Cricetulus griseus: one gene and its partners. The protein of the gene in region 7 purifies or fractionates together with the protein of the main gene of each other region. This does not show direct contact. Links are inferred from orthologs where the notes say so. Each region holds a gene or a part of one and is shown on either strand. Other genes may lie near its edges. The genes, in order: Rnf111, Hif1a, Skil, Lemd3, Smurf1, Runx3 and Smad3.

Region 1 (4,228 bases), about 6.8 Mb from region 7:
ACACACATACACCCAAAAACAGAGGCCAGAAATAAACAACATATATCAATCTTACACTAATTTTACTAATTGGGAAGGATATAGGCCAGGAAAGGTTAACAATACATTTTTTTTTTTTTTTTGGTTTTTTAAGACAAAAGATGGTTTTTGGTTTTTAAAAGATGACAAAAGAAACCCTGTGGCTTTGGAGGTTGTTCTGGAACTAGCTCTTGTAGACCAGGTTGGTCTCGAACTCACAGAGATCAGCCTGCCTCTGCCTCCCCAGTGCTGGGATTAAAGGCGTGAGCCACCACCACCCAGCCTTAATTACTATTTTTTTGTTCTGTCAGTCATATTAAAGTCCCAGCCCACCAGGTTAGGGTCAAAGCAGGGGGGCATACAAATAAGCCATAACTAAAGCATGATACCAAAGGCCTTCCTTAACATGACATATATAAAATAAACACTTAAAGCTCTAAACATTTTGATGCAATGAGCTTTCTAGTCCATATTTTCAAAAAAATACACAGATGTGCCTGCTGAATAACTTACTGTTCCTTTGCTTCATGCAAGTAAACTGCCGTCCTCTTGGGACATCAGTAGAAGCATAGAAGCATTTCTCAATTTCTCACAAACACGGAGCACCAAAGTGAAACTTGCTGAACGTAACCTCAGCTAACATACATTCTTCATTAAAAGAAAGTATTCTTATTATAGCATTCATGAAACACAAACTCTAGACCCAAGTACAATGGTAAAAACCTGCAGCCCCAGCTCCCTAGGAGGCTGAAGCAGGAAGATCCCTGAGTCTAGGAGCTGAAGGCCAACCAGTTCTAGTGACCAACAGACAGAGACCAATGGGAAAAGATGACAAAAGAAACCACACACATATGACACAGCCCTGACTAGCAAGAAAAGACTATTCTTACTAATATTCTTCAATGTCATTAGGGCCAGTTCACAAATATCCTCACTAATTTTTTCAAATACTACAGAGAATCTTAGGTGACATGCCAGCGGAATACAACAAAATATTTTGTTCATGGTTAAACCCTAAGAGAGTAGCAAAAGAGTTATACATACATTCGGGGTAGGTGTTCAAGACAGGGTCTCTCTACATAGTTAGGGCTATCCTAGAACTCACTATGTAGACCAGGCTAGACTTGAACTCACAAAGATCCCCCGGCCCCTGACTCTCATGAGCTGGGATTAAAAGTTTGAGCCATCACGCCCAGCACTCCCGCTACAAAAGTAGTAGTTAAAGCTAAATAATTTGTTTCTCTTCAGAGTAGAAGCTTCCTCAACCTGTGTCACAATGTAACAAAATACCATAGTTACCAGTTTCTACATAAATGTTTTTAACTGAAAGAAAAAGCAAAAACAAAGATCACATAGTAACAAACTATCAAAATATGGTTCCGGAGCTGGAGAAACCGTTTGGAGTCAAGAGTGTTTATTCTTGCAGAAGACCCCAACTTGGGGGTCCCAGCGCCTACACAGGGCAGTGCAAAGCCTCCCTTAAAACTCCAGCTCTAGAACATTAGATCCTCTTCTGGTCTCCACGGGCACCTGCACTCACATGCAGACCCACACACTGACATACACCCATATGAAGGATTTTTTAAATGTAGACCCCTATCCTAATGAAGCTAAGTAAAATCAGAACTATGGAAAGAATGTCTACGTAAACTCAAAACTCACGTGATAAACACAAACGGGCAAGGAGGTGGAACCTCAGCTCATCTTTTTCCCAGTCTGTTCCTTTCGGTTAAAGAGGTACCAAAAAGAAGAAAATTAAAGATAAAATGCCAAATGGAACAAAGTTTGGTTCAAGAGCTATCAGAACTTTTACAATGAAGTCTGTCAGCTGGCTCGCCGCTACTCAGGAGTTCTAAACTCACTCTGTACATAAATCAAGGAATAGGAAAGCTCTCAACAACACAATGGAGTCACCCCACACTACAGACATGAGCAAATTAAAAGAAGGCGCTATAACTTCCTGGTTGGTTTTGTTTTTTTTTAGACGCTAAAAAGTCACTCTTGCTTTAAGACATTATCTATAAAGCCCTATAATCTAGGAGATGTGGTGACAAACCTCTAGTTCTCAGTACAAAACCCGATGCTTTCACCGCACCGCTGCTGACTCCGATCAATTATCTAGGCAGGATAAAGAAAACATCTTTTTTTAATGACTAACCAGCCAGCTCCACACAATATCAGACGCGTCTGTCTTCTGCTCCACGGACTGCGCGTGCTCGCCCGCACCGGGCGGCTCCCGGCTTCGGCCCGGGTTACCTTCTTTACTCCATTGTCACCCCCACGCCTGGGCCTTCAGCCCCCGTCCTGCCGGCGGGCAGCGGCGACAGGGTGCGATCCCCTCACCCCCTCCCGCTTAGGAGGCTGTGGGTGTGTCCGCGGGCGGACTCTCGCCCGGACACAATGAGCCGCTCCGCGCCGCCCGGGACCCGCGGACATCCCCCTGCCGCTGACCCCGGCCGCCAGCCGCGGCCCTTCCTCTTTCTCCCCACAGCTCGGCCCCTCCCCCGCAGCGCGCAAGCGCCGCGGCGCCGCTCCCCTCCCCCGCACCCCCCTTTCCTCCGGCGTCCTCACCCGAGTCCGCAGCCCCCGTGCGGCCAGGTCCGGGGCTCGCTGGCGCGGGCCGGCAAACAGCGCTCGGCCAGGCGAGGCGAGGCTGAGGCGGCCCGGGTGGCTCTCCTCGGGAGGGCGTCTGTCAACGCCGCGGCCAAGCGTGCGGCTGAGCCCGGCTCGGCCCGACCCGGCTCGGAACGCCCGATCGTGGCCCACGCGCGCTCGCGACCCTGAACGGCCGGCGTTTCTACGCCGCGCAGTCCCGGCGCCCCGCCACCATCGCCGCCGCCGCAGCCTGGCTCGGCCCTCCCCGACTGCGCGAGCGCGACACCGGGGCCCTTTTACGACAGTTCGGAAAGCAAGCGCGCCGGACTCACGCCCTCTCACGTCCGTATGTCTGCGCGTGCGCGGACCTTCGCCTGCCGGGCTCGCCCCCCTTCGGCCCCCGGGCCCGCCCCCCTGCGTCCTAGCCTTTCCCCTTTTGCACTGGCTTTCTCTTACTGTTTGTTGGCCCTGTTGAGCTACGTTAAGAAGAAGCTCGTAGGGTTCATTTTCTTCGGTGATTTCGGGGTCAACAATACTTCAACATGATTCTGCCTACATCCTGGTTACTTTTTCTCTTCTAAATCTTACCGGCTGCACTTGCAGCGCTCTTAAAGCAAAAACGTGGTGTCTTTCCCAGCAAATGACACCCAAACTAGAGATCACATCTCGCTGTTCAAGTGAATTGTTTCCAAAATCAGTTCAAGGGTGGTATTAGATAGCCTGGAAGCTCTGGCTATACAATCTGAGAACACTTCTTAATTACCTCACAAAACAAGATGATTGCAATGTTTCATTGCGTGCCCTAGGAGGCAACACATAAGGACAGAGCGTGGCCTCTGCGGTCAATCAGGCAGACTTCTGGCCAGAAAGCTGATATATTAACACCTTTATAAATCTCAGTTTCCTCCTTTATTAACCAGGATAACTTTATATGCTTTAAAACCATCTTTAAGGTCAAATTTGGCGATTTATATAAACCTCCATATATTACCAATTAAGTGTTCAGTAGGCATTAATTCCCTCCTTAGACACAGGCTCTTCAATAATTTTATTCACTCATGTTCTCCATATTGAGTGAAGAAGGTGTTTTTAAATTATAAGCGAGGAATAATGAAAGAGCATTGGACCTGGATTTCCTCAGTCCCCCAATGGCTTCTCTCTAAAAGTAGGATGCCACCTGGACTATTGAGGCCGTTGACTCATGATGTCTCAAACCTCTGTTTTCATCTCTCTCCTTTTTTTCCTCTTTAAAGATTTGACTTGTATTCCTTAATTAAGGTAGACACACTTGCCACATACGACTCTTGAACACTTGAAATAAAGCGCTATTGACTTTGTATTGGCTACATCAATTTTAAGAACTACATTTCAAAACTGTGAAAAGTCCAATACTTTTTACTATGGATTGCATGTTAAAGTATATTTTTACTTCGCTTGGCTAAGTTCATGGATACAAAGATGGTCTGTGGTGTTTTTCACAACAAATGATTCCCAAATCATACATGATACTGAGTAAAAATCAGAACTGTCCATATTCAGCTGAATTGATTCTGAAATCAAGTCCAACATTCTATTAAATAGCCAGAGAGAGTTCTGGCCATTCATCACTGAAATA
Region 2 (4,170 bases), on a different chromosome or scaffold from region 7:
TGCTCAGTAAAACAACTGATGCTAGATACTGCTTCAACAGGGAAGAACCCCTTTTCAACCTTTGAATTCAATGCTAGTCTCTTCATTTAGGTGGCTATAGAGAAAAAATTACATGAAGGCACATAAGAACTAAAATATATTTAGATATAGACAGGAAAGTTTAATGGTTATGGAAGTCTGAACTATAACTTTCACAGTTAACACATATTTTCAAGTGTAAGAAATGTTACAAAGACTCCCATTCCATGTTGGCCTAAGTGCTTTAAACGCATTACCTCATCTTCAGAGGGCTAGTATTATCATCTGGGAGTGGGGCATATAATCCAGAAATACTAACTTGCTAATGATCACAAGTGGAAAGGCCTGGGACTCCAACTTGTGGGTAATTCTCTGCCTCCCCATCCCTACCCTCTAAACTTTTAGAATGCTGATTCTTCAAACAGGGAGAAAGCTGAATTGTAATGAGGTCCATTGAAGCTAGAAACAGCATGAGCTTGACACGTTTTTGAAATCTAAGAGTCCATATGCATGTTAAGTCAGTCAAGTGCAGCCCCAACACTCAGTACCCACTGTTAAATCTATTATGCATTTTCTGTTCTGCTTTCTTCCAAATCTTCAAGGTCTGGGTTTTCTATGCCCTCTATTAAAAAAAAAGCAAACTTATTTCCCCTATGCTCACTTTGGAGGCTCATTTAAGAAGGAAAAACTGCAGACAGAAAATCTTTACCTCAATCTTTCAAATAAATTATGATTTCAAAAGTACATCTTTAACAAACAGCACCTAAAGGTTGTTGAGTGACCCAACACTCATGTTCATTATCTTTTAGCGATATTAAGAACCTCTATATTAAGAAATATAATCCCATCTGATCTAAAGCTGCTAACATCTCAAGTGAGAAAAACTAAATAACAGATGGGTCTGAGGAAAAACTAAAAACCATTTAGAACTTGGCCCAATGCACAACTAATTCACTCATTCATTATAAAATTACTTTTGATTAAAAAATATTGCATATAACAATGACTGGTGTATGACCTGGTGTATTGTATTAAATCTAATTCAGCATTTAGTAAGGACAGTAAATGGCACTACCCAATTGCAATCTGCCTAATGTTTAGATTATAGCAGCCCCATCATTTCATCAAAAGCATTGTAGTAACTTCTGCAAAATTAATTGCAACTAATTCTGGTAACTAGTGGAGTTAAGTCTAGACTTGTTTAAGCACTTTTAAAACATTTCCGAAGTGCTTCCTTTGGTGCACACAAACTGAGACCTGAACCTTCTATGGAGTAAGGACCAAGACAAGGGACCCACAGAACAGCAAGAAAACAAGAAAGTTTATCTTCTGCTGATATGGATTTAATCTCTTCCAGAAGACTGGAAGGACTCAGCAGAATATTAAGCCAGCCTTCTAACCACAGCTCTTTCTATAAACCTTCAACTCCTTAAACTGATTTCCTCAAGGTTAAAATATTGAAGCAGACAAAACTGTGTGCTGGCGGCAGGGGTCGATCTTACTACTAGCAGCTGCAGTCACACTTCTGTAAGGTGTTCCTTAGACTCAAAAAACTACAAGACGTTTCATAAACTCACATTAAGTTTTCAGAGGCAATTTCTCACTTGGGATGTATTTCCCGATACAATTCTTTCAGGTGTTTCAACAAACTTGCAACATTTTAACTGATGAGTTTCATTTGCTCGCATTATATAGTCTCCCCCAACCCCCATCTCATTAAATCATCGGCCAAAGTTTAACCAAAACTATCAGGAAAGCTCTTTTCAGGAGTGAAAAGAGGCATATACATAGGCGTAATAACGTGTGGGCTCTCCTGTCAGTCAGGTGATGCAGGCACAAGTTTGTAAAAACTGTAAGTTGTTTAAAACGATGCCGTTTCCCTAAATTCCCGTTACTCTGGAGGAGGCAAGGTTTTTTTTTCCCCCCCCCTCATCACAACGGAAACCTGCACGTGCAAACTAGAAAGTTAGCATCTTCGGGCCCCCGGAGCAACTCCCTAACGTACAAAGGCAGCGGCGGCCGCGGCTCAGCAAGACGGCCCGGGGGTGGGGGGGGGTGGGGGTAGCCCCGGATCGGCCTCGACCCCAGGAAGCTGGCAGCGCGCGCAGGGTCCGCCCGGGGCCGGCTTCTCGCGGCTAACGCGGAGGACAGGGGGCGGGAAGGCGCAGAAGCGAGGGGCGTACTCGGCCCCGGCCGGCTCGGCCGGATAGGCGCGCGGGGCAGGCTGGGCAGCGACGGCGCGGGGCGGGTGTCCGGGGCGGAGACCCAGCCCCGCCGAGCGCTGGGCCCGCGACTCCCACCCCCCGCGCCAAGATGGCGACGTGGACCGCGGGGGAGCCCGGCGCGCGAGGCTGGGGGGGACGGAAGGGGATCGGAGACAAAAAAGGCCAGCCCCCGGAACGCGGCGGCCCGGCTTACTTTTTCTTCTCGTTGTCGCCGCCGGCGCCCTCCATGGCGAATCGGTGCCCGCGGTGCCTTCCCGGCCGGCGGCCCCCGGGCTCGCTCCGGCCTAAGCGCTAGCTCCGTCCGCACGCGCAGAGAAAGGGGCAAGTCCAGAGGCGGGGTGCGAGGCGAGACGCCCCCCCCTCCTCCCCGAGACGGCGAGGCGGGAGCTGCAGCTGCTCTCGCCGGGCTCCGGCTCGGGCTCGTGGGCGCTCCTCCCGCTCGCTTGTCAGGGCCTGGCCAGACACTGCCCACGACGGCAGCGAGGACAGTCCTCGCGTCCCCTCAGACGAGGAGGTTCTGTGCACTGAGGCGCTGAGGCAGCGGCAGGGGGCGGGCAAGGGCGGAGGCGCGCTCGGGCGCGCGGCTAGGGGAGGGGACCCGAGGGGTGCGCGCGCCCGCCGAGCCCGACGCGCGCGCCCGCGGACCCGCCTCACCTGAGCAGAGGCGGGTTCCCCGAGAGCCAATGGCGAGCGACGCAGGCGGCCAGGCCCCACCCCAGCCCACGTTGCTCTCAGCCAATCAGGAGGCGGTCAGCTGAGACCCAGCTGGGACGCGCTGCCCCGCTCACGTGCTTGTCTGTGTGCAGCTGGGGAGGGAAGAGAAAGGGGCGAGGGGTGCGGCTGAGCCCGGGCCTGGGGACTCCGAGCTTTCTACGGCGTCTGGCTTTGGGAGGCGCTGCTGGAGATGGTGGGCTGCCGAGCTCCGAGCCTGGCTCACACCGCCCTGCTATCTGGAGTCATCCGAGGCTGGGTTGCCGCCCAGCCCTTCTGAGTTTCCAGTTGGAAAAAAAAAAAAAAAAAAAAAAAAAAAAGAAAAAGCCGACTTTGCGTCGTGGCAGCCAGCCCCCTGGTGTTCGAGTGGGGTCCTTCCTTCCCAGGTGACCCGGAGGCGGCTCAGTCTCTGCGCTCTGCCACAGAACAAGGGAAGTCTCCATGTCGTTAAGATTTTTCTGGGCCGAAGTTTGATTACTGAGCAAATGCAAATAAAAACATAGAACAAATCCTTCTTGCAAAAACCTCTCAAAGGAAGTGAAGTTGCGGGGCCATTTTAAAACAAACTATCTTAAGCATTTAAAAACAAATAGCAGAGCTTTAGTAAGTGAAAGCATAAGCCTGAATTTGAGTGAAAGAAGGGAAAAAGGCTTTGAGAGACTTATTTTGCAGGGCCATTTTAAAACAAACTATCTTAAGCATTTACAAACAAATAACGGGGCTTTAGTAAGTGAAAGCATAAGCCTGAATTTGAGTGGAAGAAGGGAAAAGGCTTTGAGAGACTTATTTTGCTTCCATGTTGCTTTTAAAAGAGACAAAGATGATCTTAAATGGACCCAAAAAGGCGCAAGAATCCTTTGAGGCTGAGTTTGATTCACTGATTAGACTAAAGGAAGAATAATGCGTCCCCTAACCTGCAGATCCTGGTGACCGACTGACTGCTCACCTGCTCTACAGGGAACTATGGAATGAAACATCAGTTTTGGTCAGGCTTTGGAAGCAAAAATGCTAGGCCGGTCAGTATGGGTTTTTGTTGTTTTATGTATTCTGAGCCCAACAAAGGAACACTACATACACTGCACACACACACACACACACACACACACACACATACACACACACACGTTGGGGGTACAGCTGAGCCTTATCTGGAGCCTCTGTTTGAGACTCTTCCTGACACTAAACTGTTTAATATCCCATCTTTGCCTTATTAATA
Region 3 (3,500 bases), on a different chromosome or scaffold from region 7:
ATAGGACCCTGGTTCAGTCTCTAGCACCATATAGTTTTTTTGTTATTTTGATATGATAAGGTGAGCTTTTGTTCCAAGTTATCAAACATGAGTAACTCTGTTACTATTACAAATATGGAGATGATGAGCACATTAACATAGCAGCTGTGGAGAGTCGGAGTGTTGCTATAAGCCTTTGTGACAGTATGCTACATCCTCATTCCTCTAATACTCCTATTCCTTCAATTCCCTAACATGTCAGATGTCAAAAGTAGGTGTTCTGAGATATGCATGAAAATAGTTCATTTTGTAAAAAGCAAATGGCAGTTTGTTTTATAACCATGGTAAGGTGATTAAATGGGAAAAAAAATCAAAGTGATGGAAAACTAATAGTCTTTTAAATTTTACAGTTGGCAGAACTGAGGCAAAGACTAGACCATGCTGAGGCGGACAGGCAAGAACTCCAAGATGAACTCAGACAGGAGCGGGAGGCAAGACAGAAGTTAGAGATGATGATAAAAGAGCTGAAGTTGCAGATTGTGAAATCATCAAAGACCACCAAGGAATAGGAGCCGAAGAAGAGATGGATCTGTATTTGGTCAACAGGGATTTGTGTTTGTCACTTACTTTGGAAATTGAATTCTGTTGTCTTGCCATATCTGCATGAAGATAGCTAGACATTCTATTCATTTATAGGGCAGCAAAATGAAGAGATTATATATTAGTACATAAATTTTTCCACTTTCCAAATGATAAGTGTATGCTTCTTTGAACTTTTTCCAGTCAGCTTGGTGATGATAACCCATGTAATTTCAACCTGTAGACATCTACCTGTATTTCTAAGGCAAGCCTAACAGTTACATATTTTTCAAAGCTGTGGTATGTGATGGGAAATATCTGTCAGTTTTATTATGCATATTTCAGGCTCGATTTTAGATACAGTGCTGATGTTTATGATGCAGAGTTCCTCAACCCTGTATCATCCTTCTCATTACAGAATATGTTACTACAGAATCTCCTTTTTCTTTTTTTTTTTTTTTTTTTTTTTTTTTTTTTTTTTGTTTGTTTTTTTGAGACAGGTTTTCTCTGTGTAACAGTCCTGGCTGTCCTGGAACTCACTCTGTAGATCTTGCTGGCCTCAAACTCAGATCCGTCTGCCTCTGCCTCCCAAGTGCTGGGATTAAAGGTGTGTACCACCAACGCCCGGCTGAATCTCCTTATATACCATGTCTGTTTTTAGTTTGTTCAGGTTGTGGAGTAAGGTTCCTCCTAAGAGCAGTTTTGCTGATGGAATGATAGTACCACCACCCCAACATGCAGTGGGGGGAGTGTGCATTGCTGTGCCCTGATGTTGCACACAAGAAGCGGCTGGAATTTGTCTTTCATTTAAGAGTGGCTATATCTAAATATGTGTGTGTGACTTCAGAAAATTAAAATGATTACTGAACTTTTGGTAATAGTGCTGTGAAAGTACTTCATGAGGAAAATGGACTCCACTGATGTACATTGGTTCCTATGTAATTCATAACCCTCTTGTACAGTTTTTGTATGTAGTCTTATAAAGGTCTCACTGAAATTTATATAATGGATTTTTTCTTTTAAATTATAAAATATAAATATCTTGAAGGTTATTTTGGACTTTTATATGTTTAAATGTTATCTTAAAACTTGCACGAATGGACCATTATGACTCTTTAATCTTAAAATCAGGAATTTACAGTCAGCTAATAATATCTGATAGGTTAATAATCCATAATTAAAGTATCTGCTGCTAGCAGGAATTTTAGATAATTTTTAGGTGACAAATGAATTCCGTGATTTGGGGAAGGGCAGCCTCTGCACTTTTGTTTTTATTTTTTTGCACATTAAAGTCTGACATTTTTACCAGAGAATTTTATCTTAGTTGATGTTTGGCTTGATATTTACTGGAGAAAATTCTCAGTGAGCATTGTATTTTTCTTTTTGTTTTGTTTACCCTCCAAATTGCAGGGTTCTTGTGGCCTCTGCCTCCCAAGTGTTGGGTTTATAGGTGTGGGCCCCATCACACCTGGCTCTGTGTGTGTGTGTGTGTGTGTGTGTGTGTGTGTGTGTGTGTGTGTGTGTGTGTGTTTAGGGAGATTTCCTGAAAGTGGCAGTAGCATCATCGCCATGTTTTATGTTTCCCAAGCTGTCTTATGTCACTACGTTAAGTGACTTGATAGCTATGCTTACGAATAACGTAGAGTTATGGCTGTCATTGCCCCAGTGGTATTATCACGTACCTGCTTATAGTCCTATTTTGTTTATGATTCATCTAAAAGCAACTTTTCTGCTTTCCAAAAGGGAGTTTGCTTTCTAAATATATTGTGACCTAAAAGAGGATTTACTATGCTTTATAATTTAATGTGTTGACTTTTGTAACCTCTTTGAGGAGAAACATGTTAAATTGCACAGGGACCATATATGCCATTTTATTTAGATTTGGAGAAAGAAAAACCACAGGCATTTGTAAAATAGCTTTAGCTTAGTTGTCAGTTATAGCACAGCTTGGCTATGTGGGAGGCAAACTTACACCATTTATTTTTCTGACTTCCTCAAAACTTGTACTTCCGTGCTACTATAGCAAATGTAATTTTTCTAGTCTTTCAATGAAACTTGCCTCATGACATAGTTTAGCATAGTCTACTTCCCAGAAGATGAAAGGATGTGCCATAGTTTTCTGTCTGAACTTCCCTTAAAATAATTTTTAATCAACTGTAAATATTATACCTATTGCTGTTGAGAGTAACTTTTAGTTACATTGCACCATGTAGCTTGAAAACAATTGAAATTCTGTAAAACTCCCAAAGTGACCTCTGCTTAAATTTTCATATGAAACTTACTTTATGCATGCTCTTTTTGTGTGCTGGTTGCTATCTTAAAGTTTATTTTGGTGTTAGGTCTTGTGGTAAGTTCACTAGGCAAGCAGATAGTTCCTCAAACTTCATATTATGTTTAGGGAAAAATGAGACCATTTACAATGAAAAGCTGTGTTTAGGAGTGGATTGTAGAGTTTGCAAATGGAGGAAAGATGGTGGTGTTAGCTTTTATAGTAAGTGATGCTTGCTCTGGTGGTGATAGTCTCTCTGTGGGCCAAGTCTGGGAGCTCCTGCCTCTGTCAAGGAGACTCTGAAACCACCTGCCAATCACAGCCAAGACTTTGAACACCAAAAGATTCGACCAACAACTTAGATTTGGCTTGAGCTTTAATATTTTTGGAATATATTCTTTCGCTTGAATTTCTTGTGTTTTTGAGGATAAGGATGTTTTATGCTTCTTGAGCTAATTTTATAACATTTAATATATAACCTGTTTATATGTAAAATCTTTTGTACAGGGGTGGGGTGGGAAGGAGAAATGAAAAAATTCATGTGTACATAGTGAATTATAAAGCAGACTGAAGTAGGTGAAACAGTGAGTACCACTTTGTTCGAAGGTTCCTGTAGCCTTTGAAAGTTACACCAGAACAACCAGTTTCTTTGTGTGTCTGTGGCTTGTTTGCA
Region 4 (3,500 bases), on a different chromosome or scaffold from region 7:
AATTAACCACACATGGCCTATTCAACTCAATGAACTACAAGTAGAACTAGAAAATCAATTAGCTTCATATCCTTAGATATAAATACACTCCAATCAGCTTTATATCTACAATCTCAGAAATAATAATAATAAAAAAAAACATGTTCTCTCTTACCAGGAACCTAGCCAACAATACACTTATATATGTAAACAAATGCACAAGTGAGTGCTTCTCAATCTGTGGGTCATGACCCCCAAAGACCATCAGAAAACAGATGTTTACGTTCATAATATTATCAAAATTACAGTTATGAAGTAGCAATGAAAATAATTTTATAGCTGGGGTCCCCACAACATGTATTAAAGGGTCACAGAGTTGGGAAGACTGAAAACCACTCAGACAGAGTAACAAGAAGAAAAGAGACAGAGGATAAGCTTAGGGATGAGGAAGGACTGATGCAGGTATGGAAAAGAGTTGTAAAAGAAGATGTAAAAACTGCCTTAAGCAGTACAATTAAAGTAGTCAAATGCTTCCTACTTTTAACAGTGGTATGGATGTATATAAGCTTTAAGACTAGGGCTAAAATTCTGACGCCACTGCTTACCTTTAAGTACGAAGCTGCTTCTTGAACAGAGAGCATCCTTTGACTAGAACTGCCACACTCATGATCTCCTGAAAAGATTACCATACTAATTTGGAATAAGTACAATATTAAACAGAAAAATAAATAGAATTGAAAATGTTTTACAAATGACACAATTATATATATAGTAATAATCAGTAAATATTGATGAATGTTACATACGTTTTCTACAAACAGTTCTGATAACTAATGCAAACCCTAAAAATTGTTTGAACACAGATCAACAGTGAAATGAGGGTAAGATTTCTATCTATGAACTTATGACTTAGTTTTTATAAAGGGGTATGCTATAAAAGTTAGAGAAAATTACTTCCTTCTTTCATATAACTGAAGAAAATTCAAAGCTTTTTTTCCAGACTACATGTGTCTATTAGAGATATTTTTTCTTCATACTAAAATTCAGTGCTAAGTTTTTGCTGTCCTATTATTTTCAAGTAGTTTAAAAATATCTTCTTCAACCTAAAAATATAAGGCACCCACCTTTAATCCCAGCACTCAGGAGGCAGCAGTAGGCGGATTTCTGTTGAGTTCAAGGCCAGCCTGGTCTACTGAGAGAAGGCGGGGCGGGGGTGGGGGTGGCAAGACACCCAACACAAAACTTTAATAACAAAAGTGAAATCCTGCACACCTTTCTACCCTGAAAGTACGTTCTTACTTCTCAGTTTTCTCAAGGAACAGGTTGTGATGGTGGCAGTTAGATCAGGGATAAACAGGTCTTCAAGCTTTATAATGCTTCCTCAGAGAGAGACTGATTCCACAGACCCAGAAGTCAGCAAATACACCTGAGGCCAAATGCAGTCTGCTGCTATTTATAAATGAAGTTTCACTGGAGTAGGGTCAAGCTAATTGATTAATGTACTATTTATGGTTACGTGCATGTTATAATAGCAAAATAAAATAGTAGTGAGAGAGGCAGTCTAGTCCACAAAGCCTCAAGTATTTACTATGGGCACTTTATAGGAAAAACTTGCCAACGTCCAATCTGGGGAGGAAAGCTCCATCTTTTAAGAGCAACCGTGTGTACTGATCTAGGAAACCACAGGCGTCACTTCATAACGTAGGTATTGAGAGTCACACAGGCTTAAGGTAGCAACATTAGGATTTCTTAGCTATGGAATACATTCAACCCACACCCAGGTGCTAAACATACCACATGAATGTCACTAGCTGTGATATATGAACAGAGCAAATCAATCAGTATAGAGAAAGCATTTAATAATGTACACAATTATAAACCTAAAAAACTGAGGAAAACTATGGATCAAAGAGCAAGATGGATAAGGCATGGGAAACAAGTGTCAGGACCCTAAGTACTTCCATCTAACCAGAGGAGTCACCACATCTGCCCCCTAGACTTCTGCCAAAGACTTCACTTGCACATGGTAGTCTGCTCCTGCACAGTGTAGAAGGCTCCCAAAGCCACATCTTTCAGATTATACACAAATATTAATAAATTTATATACTGAATTGGATAAACAAATATGCTACAGTAGTTTTGCCGATACTGCTTGCAAATATCAAACTTAGTAAGGATGCATTTAAAATATAATTTCATTAAATTCAGGCTGCAGATATGTTGATACCTGAGCACTCTGATAGACCAGTAAGAGTAGAATATGAGAAGAATTCAACTAAAAATAGAATACTATATTTACTTTAACTACAGGAGTAACATGCAAAATCACCAAAAGAAAATCTATACCTCTGTATCTAATCCAAGATTTTAATTAATCACTGCTTATCCAATTCAATTGCTATTTAAGCCTTCAGAATTTACTATTTACACAACATACATAAACTATATCTAACACATGGCAAGCAGAAAATAAATAGCCCTACATCTTTATAAATTTCTTTTAAAAATCTCTAAAGAAAACTATTGAATAAATGTAAGTCTATGGTTAGGCAAGACTACTTCTACTGACACAACAAGCACACACACCAGGTAACCTTAGACATGGTTTGGGAGACAATGAAAGGTAAAATAATACCTGCAAGCTGGGCCAACCGATCATGAAGTTTGTATAATGTGCTCATCACAAGATTTCTTTCACTTTCCTAAAATTAAAAACAGTTATTATGAAATACCAATTGTAAGAAAAATGTCTATAATTATTTAAAAGAGGAAATCAAGCTAAATGGTTAAAGCTATGCATCTGAAAAACAAATCCATATGGAAACAATAGCTACTGTATTTTAAGGAACCTCAGCATAAATGATCACTGCTAAGTATTTTACTTTCTTGAGGACTATTAAGTTGGCACAGAGGGCTGGAGTGATGGCTCAGTGATTAAGTTTCTCTTCCAGAGGGACAGAGGTCAATTCCACATCAGGTAGCTTATAAGCTTTTGCAAATCCAGCTCCCCAGGAACTGACACCTCTGACCCCAGCAGGTTCCAGCACGTATGTGCACATACCCAATACAGACACACACACACACACACACACACACACACACACACACACACACACACACACACACACCCCATCTTAGGAAAAAGAAATTACAGAAAAGGATCTTACACACAATAACCCCCAAGTCATCAAAGCAACCCTTCCAATTCCACATGCATATATATATATAATATATATATATATATATATAATATATATATATATATATATGTATGTTCTTGTCTTTTCTTCCATCCAGGTTACATTATGTGTTTGAGTGATTGATTTAATTTGTGTACACATATGTGGGTTGCACATACAGGGGCATAAGCCATGTATATCAGAGAACAATATTAGGAATTGTTTCTCTCCTTCCACCATGAATGTTCAAACTCAGGTTGTCATGCTTGCTGGCAAGCACTGTTAGCTGCTGAGCCATTCTCCATAGTTTGTTTTAATCTGATTCAATCACATAAAACTAAA
Region 5 (4,161 bases), about 94 Mb from region 7:
CCTTTCCTGGTTCTCTAGGATCTGTTAATAGACAGCTGACACAAACGCCACTGATCTCATTTCGACTAAAACTCCCCAAGTCCATCAATTTAACAGGAAGGCTGAAACCAATGTGGATTATCACTAAAATCAGGGCCCAGTGCCAGTGAGCAAACTTTCACAAGGATGACTGGCAAAGAATCTAACTTTCTAAAGTAACAGCCAACACAGTGTCATACACTACATTCACCCAGTGAGAGTTCTCTCCAGTCACCTGCTGTTTGTCCAGGGGCAAAGATGTCCAACAAGACCAGGGTCTGGGTTCTAGTTCAAAAATCATTATCTGACCTGACATCACCAGAGAAAAAAATGTCAATCTTTTCTTAAACAGAACACTCATCGGCTACAAACTTTCCAAGAATTTCCACCGTGGCAGGGAAGATACCACCATGATCACAGCCCTTACCCAAAGGCTCAGTCCAAAAGGACAAGCAGAGAGCCTTAGTTCTGACCACACTGCCTCAGAACAGAAAAATCCAGGGAAATCCCTGAAAGGCCTTAGACTTAGTGTTTATTTCCTTTTCTGAGCTAGAAAGCCCCAGAGCAGGCCCTATGCCAGCCCTGCCATGCAGCTTTAGAGATGGATTCAAACTGGTAAGGTCTCTGCAGGAAAAGGAGAGGGAGAAAGGAAGAGGAAACCAGGGGCAGTGGTCCAGACTCTGGACCCATGAAGTGGGGCAGCTATGACAGAGAGCTCGCCTCTCCCTCTATGCAAACAATACTGTTGCTGTCAGACCCAGAGCAAGCTTTGCGCTCACCCTTGAAGGTGGCACTACAGAGCACCTAGGAAACCTGAAAATTCCTCTGAAGACTCGGAGTGGAACAAGGAACCTGTGCTGGAGCAGCTGCCACAGCTCAGCTTGTGTGGGAGTGGGGGATCGCGCCACAACAGGGACTCAAGCATGTGGCACTGAGGGGGATGTTGGCGAAGGCACTGCAGAGGAGGTAGGAACCGAAGACCGGGACTCTGCAGTGCTAAGTGGCCAGGCCTCAGGGAGAACGGAAGTGGACTAGACTGGAGAGGTCTGGACCATTGAAGAGGTGGGGGGGAGTGAGAACAAGTCTGGGAGACAGACGTTTGGTCCCAGACAGGCTTGAGGAATTTGCGACTCAAGGGTGGAGGCTGTAAGACAGAAGCGAGGGGGCGGGACTGAAAGATAATCGAGGGCGGGATCAGACAGAAACAAGGGGAGGGGCTTGGGCAGCGGAGGGGGCGGGGCCAAGAGGGGGGAAGGCCCCTAGAAAGATGGAGATGGGGAGGGAGTGAGGAGGTAGGAGAGCAAAGAGAGGATCAAAGCAGGCCAGTGGGGGGGGGGGGGGCGATTCTCGGGATACCAGGAGGGAGAAGTGAGAAGGTCAGAGAACACAGTGGTGAAGGAAGAAAGGAGGCGAAGAGATGAGAAGCTACAAGGGAAAAAGACAGCAGACAGGTGGGAGGGTAGTAAGGTGTGGGACTAGAGAGGGATAGCAGGTAGGAGGATGGTGAGTGAAGAAATGGATGATGAAAATCTGAGGTGAGGGTGGGAAGAGCAAAAGGTGCAGCGAGGGGGCGGGACCTACATGAAGTTGAAAGTGGGTGTGGAGCTGAGGGAGCCAGGCACAAGGCCTGGAGAAGAGCAGGGAGGGGCAGATGTGGGACAGAGGGTGCCTGGGGCAGGATATAGAGAGGGTCACAAGAGAGCCGGTGGGGGACCCCGAGGGGCGGGACCTCTATGCAGCTGAGGGTAGGGGTAGGGCAGAAAGGAGAGCTAGGGGATGGTCCTGGAGAGGGGAGCTAGGGGGCGGGACCTGAAGCAGAGGGGTAAGGTTAGGGGCAGAGGGAGGCAGTTAGGGGGCGGGGCCCATATGCAAATGACGGTAGGTGTGGGCAGAGTGTGAACGGTGAGGGGAGGACCTGATAAAGAGGGAGGAGCCGGAGGCAGTACCTACCGAGGATCAGCGGGGGTTGGGGGTGGAGCCCGACAGAAGGATGAACAGCAAGTAGGGCTTGAAGCAGAAAAAACCAACTGCAGAGAAATTAGCAGGCGGGGAATAATGCAGAGGGAGGAGCCAGAGGGCGGGGCACCAAGGCTACAAAGTAAAGAGGTGGAGCCTGTGGGGGGAGGGGGCGGGAGTCTGCAGAACAGTCGAGGGCTGAACCTGGTTACGAAAGGGGGAGGATCTGCGGATCAATAGGGGCGGGGCTAGATGCAAGAGGGCGGGGCTGCCGCAGCGGGCGGGGCCTGATGGCCGGGGGTGGGGCCTGATGCAGAGGGAGGGTACTGGGCGGCGGGGGCGGCGCCTGCAGAGCAGCCGGGGGGGCGGGGCCGGGAAAGGGAGCGAGGGGCGCACGCCGTGGGGGGTGCGGCGGTCCCGGGACAACGGCCGGTGCGGCGGGGTGGGAGTCCTCGAGGTCCCTGGGACCGCCTGGGGGCGCGAGGGCCGCGGCCCTGTAGTGCCTACCTGTCAGACGGATCTTGATGCTAGAGCCGTTCCTACGCGTCCCGGGGTTCGACATCTCCCGCCAGCGGCCGGCCGGCCTTGGATCCAGCGCCGCCGCCCCCAGCCGGCCCGGCCCGGCCCCGCCGCCGCCTCAAGGTTACGGCCACGGGCTGGGGTGCCGGGGTCCGAGCCGGGACGCCGAGTGAGCGGCGCAGGCGTCGGACGGGAGCCGCGGGCTGGAGCCGCAGGACGGAGCGCTCGGCTGCGCCGCCGCCCGGAGCCGCCCCTGGCCGCCAGCCCGGAGCCGCCGCGCTCGCAGCCGGACGCCCGCCGCCCTCGCTGCTTCCGCCGCCGCCTCCCGAGCTGCGCGCGCCCGTCGCCGTGCCGGCCCGGCCCTGCGCGGCCCCGCGCTTGCGTGCGTGCATGCGTGCGCGCGCCCGAGGAGCACGGCGCTACGCCGACAGCGTTCGTCCTGGGCGCGCACGCGAAGGTTCAGGGAGCTACTAGGTTTCTGCAGCCCGTGGAGATTCTTGAAACAGACATCCCGCTCGCGGAGCACTTCTTAGCCACAATCTCGGAACGAACTGATTTGCTTGTGCAACGATTTGGGAAATCGAATTATTTTTCTAGAGTCGGACTTTTTCCTGATGGAAGCCAGAGGATTGTGTGAAACCCCAAGCACCTTGCGCGCGTGCGCCCACGGGCACGCGATATCATTTTTGAGAAAATAACGTTTAGATCCTGCAAGTTCCAAGAGAGGACTTTCCACAATGATCGGGTGTGCCCTGTGCAACTGGTGTATTCGATTGACAAAGTGGCTAGACCCTCAGGAAGTGAGGCATATGGACCAGCTAAACTAGATGAGTGATGTAAACTGGAGAGGTGTGTGGTTTTGTGGTTAGGGACCTGCATGCAATTAAACTAACCTAGGAAGGTAAGCAGTGGGATTTGCGATTCCCTGCCTTCGGGTGAAACACACACACCCCGCGCGCGTGTGCGCCCCTAGAGAGGCAGGCAGGTAAAAAAGTAAAAGCTGTGTTTTCCCCAGCAAGCAAACCCATCTCTATGGTAACACATTCTAGAGAGGAAATAAAACGTTCTTGAAAAGGCTGGGTATGTTTACCTAACTCACATCTGATATGAACCTAATTCTTTTCATAGACAGAGTTTATGTGGCTTCCTTAGCCCTGTTACCCACAGCACTTAGCCACCCTCTTTGGAGACAGAGGCTCATTTTTAGACCAAGCTGGCCTCGAACTTGTGATCCTCCTGCCTCAGCTTCCTGATTACCAGCCTGTACCACAACCCACCTGGCCTTACCCTAGTGGTTTGTTTTGTTTCTATGACCCTGTGCAGCCCAGAGTTTCAAATAGCTGTAGTGAATTGTCTAAGAAAAGGAACAGTATATGAGCAACAGTTAATCCAGACGCTAGCTCTGTCTCATTTTCTAGGCAGCTGTCATTGAGATTGAGACCCTAGGTCAGAATAAATCCATTTAAGAGTCTTTGATGAGGGTTGGTATGATAGCTCCATTGATAAAGTGTTTGTTGTGCAAGCATGAAAAACTGAGTCTTGTGGGGGTTTTAGATATTTTTTAATCTACATATGAGTGTTTTGCATGTGTGTTTATATGTACATCAGAGGGTGCTGGATCTGAAACGAGTGGTTGTGAACTACCATGTGAGGGTACTGGGAACTGAA
Region 6 (4,252 bases), on a different chromosome or scaffold from region 7:
ACGAAGGGCAGGCTGGGCAGCTTCTGGAAGGTTCTACTTAAGCCCTGACTGTAGGAGGCCCAATTGTCTGTCCCCTGTTGCTTCCAGAGGCCCCAGATGTCTGTTGTGTGCTGATGCCCGGAGGCAAGGCATGGAAACACAGAATCCAGTGAAAACATAGATGAAGCTGTTCTCTTCTGGTCTATGGGGACTCCGAGTCGGCAGAGCTTTGTGACAGTTCAGAGGACCCACCCTGGGTTGGCGGCAGCATGAGGAGCATCAACTCTAATCACACGTCCCCTTTACCAATGAAAGAATAGCACTCAGAGATGTCAAGCGGCTGGCTTGAAGTCACACAGCACATGGACATTAGAGGCAGGCAGAGGACTGGGCCTTCTGCCAGCACTGCCCAGGTCAGATTGTGTGAATTTCCAGACCCAGACTCAACACACACTGACTCCACAGTCTGAGACTGTGGAACTGGAACATGGCATTTTCCAGTTCTCCAGGAGAGTGGCTGAGGCAGTGAGGAGGGCCGGCATTTGGGGACAGCTGGGTATGTGGACACTGTGGGAGAACGGAGACAGGGGCTCCCTTCTGTGAAACCCCAACAGGTGGATCCCAGAGTCAGAGTGAGAGAACACATCGGCGCTAAGATTCTTGACCTTAGCAGAAATCCCAGGGGTCCATGAACCCGGCTGGAAATAATGAATTTTCCCTTCTGTTAGCAACTATGAAACAAAATTTAGCATCTTTTTCCACCACGATGGTGTCACCAACAGAAACCACAATTGTTTTCAATCTCAAGAAGGTTGTGGCAAATGACCCTTCACTATCTATCGTCAGCACTCGTCAACCCGAGCTACACTGGGTTTTGGATCCACAGGGAGGGCTTCTGTCATTCAAGTGTCTCCAGAGAGGCCCAAGGTCACAGTCCACAAATGGGCCTTTATAGATTGGAAACTGTTTCCCCAGGTCTGGTACCTCCTAAATCCTTTTGATTTTGTTATATGTCTTTATAGTGTGATTTGAGAAGCCACAGGCTTCCTGAGGGTCCAGGATGGTGTGTGGATACAAGGGGACCCTGAGGCTGGAGCTATGAGCACTCTGAATCAGGGATCTGAACCCGAGTGGACAGGTTTAAAGGAGAGAGACGAGACAAGGGCAGGATTTCTTCTTGGGGTCTCCAGGCTGCCTGGTGACAGTGACTCTGACACCTTCCACCCTGCTGACCAGGGACCAGCCATTCAGCTCAGTGACCTCTTTCCTTTTGGGCCACAGCTGCTGTGGTCCCCTCTCCGTCCTTCTATCTCCAGCTGCCACATCTAGGGCTTTGTGTCAGGAGTCCATCTAAGGCATCCGGCACGAGCCCTGACTTCTAAAGTTTCTTTGTTTTAAGCTCAACTTCTCCATCTTGCTCAGGGAGGGAGAACTACAGATTACAAAGACCCAGCAACTGGTTCCTATAAACTCTTATTTTCTTGCCCAGTAACTGCCTTTAATTAACACCAAAGACTACAAAGGGTGCAGAGCACAACAACAGTGGTGGCTGCAAGGGACAGGACCTAGGGCCACTATTTATCATCAGCCACAGCCAGGTTGGGAGTGAGCATCCCTTCTCCGTGGCTCAATCACCATCTGAGCACACAGCCTGCCTTAGGCTCCTCAGATCACCAGGAAAGAGATATGCCTCGCTCTTACCACACAGACCCACAGGTCTCCAGGTCCTCTAGAATCAAATGCTGAGCACTGGCAGGCAGACCTCTATGTCTCTCTCATTCGGCCACCTCCACTCAAAAAAGGCAATGCCTCCCAACCCTAGACTTCTAGAACATTCTGCCCCATCTTCTGTAGAGATTTCCCCTGAGCAACCCAGAAGTATTGCCCCATGCACAGCTCAGATAGTAGAACACCACAGCTAGAGGGGACGCCATCGGGAGCAAAAAGGTTAAGTGACCCATATCGGGTCACTCATCGAGGTTGGCACAGCTTGGGGCTGAAGTTTGGGGACCACAATCTCCTGATCTCCGGTGCCACAGCCCGATGAGCTCCTGCAAAGGGTCAGGAAAGTGGCCGAGGTATATAAAGTCAGGGTACCTCAATGGCCAGAGGCAGGGCATGTCTTCTTGGAGTTTAGCCTAAGTCAGAGGCTCCACATCAGATATCCTGGTTCCTATCCTTGCTGAGGGGCACACCCCAGAACTCTTGGTCCTGATGGGCCATGAATAGAGACAGAAGCCACCTCCAAAACACCTTCTGAGAACAAACCTTCAGACCTTCCAGGGACAGCGTATCTGCCAGATTTTCACAGAGGCCTGCCGCTTCTTTCCCTCCCTCTGTCCCCACTGTTCTGGGCACACAGAGAATTCGGAGGACAGTCCTTAAGATCTGTGGGTCCAGGCACAGCCCTGGCCCTGCTTGCCTCTCATGGTCCTCCCAGACGCATCTGACCTCGGTCCGTCTGAGCCCTTGTCTAGGCAAACAGGCCCCGGTGCCTTGTTCTTTCCAGGACCCTCTGAGGTTTAGCTTTTGAGGTCTATAGGGAGCCATTGCCCCTGCCACACACTCCGCCAGCAGAGAATCAAAGTCCTATAGTGATGCTCGTGTCAGGAGACCACAGAGGCCACCAATCCCTCTCCCCACTTAGCTCCTCAGAGGCTAGCCATTGAGGTGGCTAGAGCAGTGGGTTGGAGGGTCATGGTCTGAGGCCGTTACAACTCCCCAGCCGGGAGAGCCAAGCAGAGCCCCACCATTGCTACTCACCTCGGATGAAGGTCGGTGTGTAGTTGGGGAAGGAGTCGAAGATGCTGTTGGAGGCCATACCCCAAGCTGACAGAGGCAAGGACTCGGCCTCAGGGGGTTGGGTTCGGACCCACTTGGTTGGCTGCTGTTTTGTTATATTTTTTTTTTCAAGCTGCTTTTGAAAATAAAAGGGGGGAGGTGTTGCTTTTCGTTTGTTTTTTGGTTTGGTTTCTTTTTTCTCCCCCTGCTGCTACGAAAAAGAAAAAAAAAAAGGAAAAAAAGGAAAGAACGCGAGAGTATCTGTGGGCGAGAGAGAAGAAAATCTCCAAGGAAAGAAAGTTTCGGTTTGTACCCAAGAATTTGGCTTCCCGGTCCCACAGGAATGTCTAGCCACAAATTTTCAACAGCACTATGTGCAGAGTATCATTAAATGGTGGGAAGGGGCTCCGGACAGCCAGGGCGGAGGAGCCTGGGGCTGCAGCAGTGAGGCAAGACTCAGCAGCGGGAATGAATGAATGAATGAATGAGGCTCACCCTCCACGGAGCCCAGGCTGTGGTGGGGGCCAGGACGGCCAGGGGGTGGGGACGCCAGGAGCCAACCAGCTCCTCGCAGGGCCCTGGAGGCAGTGAGGGCCTGGCCTTGTGGTTCTGTGGTTGAGGGACCAGGCCTTCCCAGTGTCAACCCAAGCTCACATCACAGGATATAAGAAGCCAGCTCGCGGCTGGGGCCCATTGGCTAGGCCACTGTCACCTGGGCCATGATGTCACAGTCCCCTTAGAAGATCTTGTGGCTACTCCCCAACCCCCTTCTTTGGAGGCTGGAAGGAAAAGAATAAAAAGAGAGAAAAGGTAGGGTTTCTGTTTGTGAGTCTGGCTTCATCATACAATCCAGGAGACAGAGCTAGGAGCCACTGAGTGGGCAGCAGGCTGTGGTTTGCAGTGGCCTAGGAGACCCTTTCATAATGAAGGGCAGTGGTGGCCTGGCTGCTCTTCCCCAGGAGCCAAAGCTTGGTTCCATCAGAGGGTGGAGGACCCCTCACTATTGCTGTCACTGCCCTAGGCTGTGGCTGACACCCTGCCATGTCCGTCACCACACTGCCAGGCAGAGGCGTCCACATATGTGGCTGGGTGGCACTTCAGGGGTTTTATGGGAGCTGGGGTTTATGTACAAATGGGAAACACATGAGGCGGCGGCTGCGGCCTGCCCACCAAGAAAGGCCTTGCTTGGGAAAGCTGGGGGCATGGCTGTGCTGGGACGGCCCTGCTCTCGGCTGGAGCCTGCAGCCTAAGCTCACTGGTCTGGGGCCTTTGCCATGCCCTTGGGGTGTTACAGCCAGAGAGACTCTGAGCTCCCTGCCTCAGGGCTTTTGCCTCTGATAGGCCTTTCCTGTGCCAAGACTCAGAAAGGCTCAAAAGACATGGGCAATGCCCCACTCTGTGCTCATCTTCTAAGAAACCTGTCAGATGTGAGGCATGGGAGAGCATGGCTTTTCTTATTTGCCTCAAGAGCTCTTCTGTCACAATTCATAGG
Region 7 (4,145 bases):
GTACAACCAAAGAACCAACCAACAAAAACCCTGCTCCCACCCACCACCTTCTTTGTGCAGTCTGAAGATGCCTAGTCCTGGAAGACCTGGGTGAAGTGGAGGTGGTTAGCCTGAACTCTCAGAAGCACACAAACCTTCACCTGCCTGGGACTGGGAAGGGCTGCAAGTGAAAGCAAGATCAGAAGGCAAATGTAGGCCAAGGAAGGCACAGTCTCTCCTCTAAGCTGACCCCAGCCCAAAGATGAACCAAGAACCTTCCAGGCAGAGATCCACCACCCTCCCTGGATAAGGATGCTTTGGGCTCTCAGAGTCCACAACAGTCTGGGAGAAAGGGTATGCTAGCCCCAGTCTTAGGTTTTTCCCTATCTCCTGTGAAGGTCTGTCTGGTTGAAAGGCAAGATCATTTTAGACCTCGCTGCCTGTTCTGTTTTCCAGGCCTTCATCAGGCCTATGACAGTGCCTTGTAAATTGTGAAACACTCTGCCCAGCTGCTTCATAATTGATATCACTTGAGGGGGTTCAAAACATAAAGTATTCAGTGTGGCTGCACCCAGGCGTATTAGGAAAAGGCTATTTCTCCGGATCTGACAGAGACCTGAGACTCAGCCACTCCACTTCGTCAAAAGGATAAAGAAGAATGAGGAGCCAGAGCAGGAGCTAAAACCCAGGTGCCTGTGACCATCACGTCACAGCACCCCCCTAAAGCCAGTTGGCAGAGGCTCACAGGCCAAGCATTCTTCCCAGACAACTGCCTTCGCCTCCCCCTTTATTGATCCCAACCAGGTTTGGGGGTTGGTTGTTTTTGGTTTTGTTTTTTGGCTATTTTTTTTAAGCAGGCATCCCTACCGTCTGTGGTGTTTATTTCCAGGGAAGGCCGACCCTGGGCTCCTGTGGACAGATGCTGCTTTGCGCCTTACTGTTAGGGCTGGCAGCATACACACAGCTGCCTTGAGCAGGTGGCCAAGGATGGAGGCCACCCTGGCCCGGAAGAATGATGACCTCTCTATCTTAGGCCCTGGGAGCTCTCTCTCCATTCCTCTGCAGCTTGGGACACCACCACCTCCCACCACCACCCCCACCCCGCAACATCCGCACCTGCCCTCCTCTGGAATCAATCTTTAAAGATGTCTTGAGAAGTGGAGACAGAAGGCTAAAGTGCCCTCATCCCAGGCGCAGTTATGCTCTGGGAGGCCCTGGGAGTGAAGTCACTGACCCCTTCCATCAGCCATCTGTGAGCTCCCGCCGGACTCCTCTAGCCCGATGGGAAGGATAAAGGAGGTCAGGACAGATGGCAAAGCGTTTTGGGAAAAGAGGTCTCTACAGGAATGCAGGGACAGAGGGAGGCCAGCTCTGGGATGTTTTGTTATCTGTCTGGAGCTGCCTGCTCGGTTCTAGGCACCCGCAAACTCTCAATTAAAATGAAGGCATACCAGGCAGGCGTGGGGTGGGAAGAGGGAATGACCGTACTTTCTGCCACTTGTTTCTCCCGCTTCAAAGTCGGTGCTTTGCTCTGCAACTAAGTGCGTGCGTGCATGCGTGCACAGGGGGCGGGAGGCTGGCACAACCAAATCTAAAAATACTCGATAAAAATGCTAATCCCAAGGCAAAGAAAGAGCGAAGAAGGAATCTGTCAATCAACGGGCTCCCGCTCCTCACCCACAGCTGTACCGACTGCATTCCTGTAGACGAGGAAAAGAAGTGGGGGAACAGAGCTGAAGAAAAGAAAGGGACACACGCCACCACCTCCACGAGCGCGGGGCGGGAGGCGGCGGCGGAGGAGGGGCTCGGCCGGCAGAGCCGAACAAAGCGGGGCCTCTACTTGGAGCCCAAAGCCCAGAGAGTGGGGGGCCAAGCTCAGCAGCACCCCTGCTGCCCACAGGCGGCTAGGGATCCTTGAGGTCTGGAAGCCAGAGTGCCGCATGGAAGCCTGGGCTCTGAGCCTGGACAAATCCGAAGAAGGTTTTGTTTGGGGTCCCTCCACCCACTGCCTGTCCCCAACACTAGAGCGCACACACACGCACACGCCCTCCCCTCTCCACCCTGGCCGCCCTAGAGGGCTGGGCCGGCGCGCCCCCCGTCGCTCCCGGCCCCCACCTGGGGATGGTAATGCACTTGGTGTTCACGTTCTGTGTGGTGATGGCCTTCTCCAGCTCGTCCAGCTGCCCCGTCTTCTTGAGCTTCTTCACCAAGCTCTTGACCGCCTTCTCGCACCATTTCTCCTCCTGCCCATTCTGCTCGCCCTTCTTCCAGCCCAGCAGGCGCTTCACGATCGGAGGGGTGAAGGGCAGGATGGACGACATGGCTGGCACGGGAGGGTCACCGGCGCCCCCGGCGGGACTGGGCGCACTGGGGACGCCGGGGGCGCACAGGGGCAGCTCGGCCTGCGCCGCGCCCGAACTTCGCGTCTAACTCTGGAGAACTTGCCCCGGCGTCCGGGCCGGGGCCGCGGCACTCCAGCTGCGGGGATCGGGAGCACGGTGGCGCCTGAGTAGCTCCACGAGGACCGACGGACTGACGGGCAGGCCCCGGGCGCGCGGGGCGGAGGCGGTGGCCGCTGAGACTCCGAGTGGCAGTAGAAAGTTTGGGTTTCCGCACGGGGTAGCTGTTTGGGTGCCGCCTCCGGGAAGGAAAGTCCAACCCCCAGCCAAACTTTGCTGGCCTGGATGACTCTGGTGAGCAGATCCCTCCGCCTCTGCAGTCCTCCTCCTCCTGTTCCTCCTCCTCCCCGCTGATCGCCGCCTCGCAGGGCCGGCCAGGGCCGTGCAGCGGCGCTCCCCGCTCCTCTCCCGCCCGCTCCCAAGTCTACGTTTCACGCAGCTCCGCGTGCAGGCTTCTTCCCAGCGCTGTCGCCGCCCCCTCGCCGCTCGGGCTCCCCGCTCCTCCCCCGCGCTCAGCTCCGGGGAGGACCCGCGGCCTTCCCCGCCCAGCGCCGCCAAGCGCGCCCACGTGGGCCACCGGGCACGGCGGCCGCGGGACCAGACTCTTGGGGACTCGCCGCCCTCAAGACGCTCAGATGCAGTTGCAGGGACTAGAGAGTGTTAGACTCGCCGGAACAGGCGCGGGACCCCTAGGGTTCGCTGCTCCCTGGAGAGTACTGGGACAAGAAGAGGGGTTCAGTTCCAAGCCCAGGAAGCCGGGGAGCACTGATCTCGCTCACTGGCCCCGGCTGTTTTCCTTTGGTTTGGTGTTTTTTGTTTTGTTTTGTTTTTGTTTTCCCGCTGGGTGAGATCAGACCGACTGACTGCCCGGAGACTGCGGAGGAGGGAGTTGGGAAGGGGGAGAGGGAGACTTAAAAGTGGAGTTAGAGACCTCAGTGACAACTTGAACAATAGCTGGAGCCTGGGGTCCCTTGGGCCTAGTGAACCAAGCTCTTTGCAGAAAACGGGCCTCAAAGACATCTGTTGCATTCCTTAAGGAATGAATGGGAGCGCTTTAGGATTTATCTTTGGGGGAGGGGAAGAATTAACATTGCTGGGTGTTACTGAAATTCGACGCCAAACAAGCAAGAGAGCTTTGTTTACAAAGCAGTGAACTCGCACATACAAAGTGGAACGAAGTTTACTCAAAGTTAGCCTAGGTAGGACACCAAGAGAACCTGACTTTGGGTAGCCCTGGGGCCCAACTATCGGAATTCGGGGCTGGCTGCCCATGGTCCTTTCACGGGCTTGGAGGCGTTACAGCAGGCTCTCAGCTCCTTTACCCTGCGGCTGCAATCCCATCGGGTTAACTCAGTAGGTATAGGACTATGCTTGTTTTAAACAGTGGGAAACCCCACCACCACCGACGGTGGTGAGAAAGAAGTTATTTGCAAACCAAGAGCCGGTGGGAGTTACAAAGACCTATGAAGTGTGGCCAGTCCCACAAAGTCAGCCCAGAAGCTTCAGGGGCCCCCAGCTCTGTCACCGAGGGTGCCCCATCGCCAGCCACAGCTTGTCAAGAGGCTGTGGTTTCCTAGGTGTCTCCTTCCACCTCCCTGAAGCCAAGTCCTGAAAGGAGGAGGATTGATTCTTGAGGCCCAGTGGACCCTAACAAGCTAGGTCCTGCACTCCTGTTGGAGTGTGGCTGTAGCCTCCCCTTCCACTCGGCTTCCCAGCCCTTACCAAGAGACTGAAATGGAGGCGGTCTTAACTGCTGTCTTCAACCTA

The links.
Region 1: the proteins of Smad3 (region 7) and Rnf111 purify together in Homo sapiens (affinity purification with western blotting; 5 studies listed by BioGRID). This does not show direct contact. The link is inferred for Cricetulus griseus from reciprocal best matches to the Homo sapiens genes SMAD3 and RNF111.
Region 2: the proteins of Smad3 (region 7) and Hif1a purify together in Homo sapiens (affinity purification with western blotting; 4 studies listed by BioGRID and IntAct, with this or other methods). This does not show direct contact. The link is inferred for Cricetulus griseus from reciprocal best matches to the Homo sapiens genes SMAD3 and HIF1A.
Region 3: the proteins of Smad3 (region 7) and Skil purify together in Homo sapiens (affinity purification with western blotting; 6 studies listed by BioGRID). This does not show direct contact. The link is inferred for Cricetulus griseus from reciprocal best matches to the Homo sapiens genes SMAD3 and SKIL.
Region 4: the proteins of Smad3 (region 7) and Lemd3 purify together in Homo sapiens (affinity purification with mass spectrometry; 3 studies listed by BioGRID and IntAct, counting the BioPlex papers as one, with this or other methods). This does not show direct contact. The link is inferred for Cricetulus griseus from reciprocal best matches to the Homo sapiens genes SMAD3 and LEMD3.
Region 5: the proteins of Smad3 (region 7) and Smurf1 purify together in Homo sapiens (affinity purification with western blotting; 3 studies listed by BioGRID). This does not show direct contact. The link is inferred for Cricetulus griseus from reciprocal best matches to the Homo sapiens genes SMAD3 and SMURF1.
Region 6: the proteins of Smad3 (region 7) and Runx3 purify together in Homo sapiens (affinity purification with western blotting; 3 studies listed by BioGRID). This does not show direct contact. The link is inferred for Cricetulus griseus from reciprocal best matches to the Homo sapiens genes SMAD3 and RUNX3.

Annotation. Positions count from the first base shown.
Region 1 is NC_048597.1:182,047,543-182,051,770, forward strand, and holds the start of Rnf111 (E3 ubiquitin-protein ligase Arkadia), read right to left. Parts: upstream 2,801-4,228; 5' UTR 2,590-2,800; intron 2,433-2,589; exon of another isoform or gene 2,177-2,432; intron 1-2,176. UniProt on the Homo sapiens protein: E3 ubiquitin-protein ligase. Required for mesoderm patterning during embryonic development. Acts as an enhancer of the transcriptional responses of the SMAD2/SMAD3 effectors, which are activated downstream of BMP.
Region 2 is NC_048598.1:129,496,291-129,500,460, forward strand, and holds the start of Hif1a (hypoxia-inducible factor 1-alpha), read right to left. Parts: upstream 2,801-4,170; 5' UTR 2,472-2,800; coding exon 2,437-2,471; intron 1-2,436.
Region 3 is NW_023276806.1:119,762,675-119,766,174, forward strand, and holds part of Skil (ski-like protein), read left to right. Parts: intron 1-389; coding exon 390-548; 3' UTR 549-3,500. UniProt on the Homo sapiens protein: May have regulatory role in cell division or differentiation in response to extracellular signals.
Region 4 is NW_023276806.1:135,866,578-135,870,077, reverse strand, and holds part of Lemd3 (inner nuclear membrane protein Man1), read right to left. Parts: intron 2,682-3,500; coding exon 2,615-2,681; intron 653-2,614; coding exon 585-652; intron 1-584.
Region 5 is NC_048597.1:81,373,325-81,377,485, forward strand, and holds the start of Smurf1 (E3 ubiquitin-protein ligase SMURF1), read right to left. Parts: upstream 2,801-4,161; 5' UTR 2,537-2,800; coding exon 2,482-2,536; intron 1-2,481. UniProt on the Homo sapiens protein: E3 ubiquitin-protein ligase that acts as a negative regulator of BMP signaling pathway. Mediates ubiquitination and degradation of SMAD1 and SMAD5, 2 receptor-regulated SMADs specific for the BMP pathway.
Region 6 is NC_048595.1:18,148,416-18,152,667, forward strand, and holds the start of Runx3 (runt-related transcription factor 3), read right to left. Parts: upstream 2,801-4,252; coding exon 2,743-2,800; intron 1-2,742. UniProt on the Homo sapiens protein: Forms the heterodimeric complex core-binding factor (CBF) with CBFB.
Region 7 is NC_048597.1:175,281,546-175,285,690, forward strand, and holds the start of Smad3 (mothers against decapentaplegic homolog 3), read right to left. Parts: upstream 2,801-4,145; 5' UTR 2,301-2,800; coding exon 2,095-2,300; intron 1-2,094. UniProt on the Homo sapiens protein: Receptor-regulated SMAD (R-SMAD) that is an intracellular signal transducer and transcriptional modulator activated by TGF-beta (transforming growth factor) and activin type 1 receptor kinases.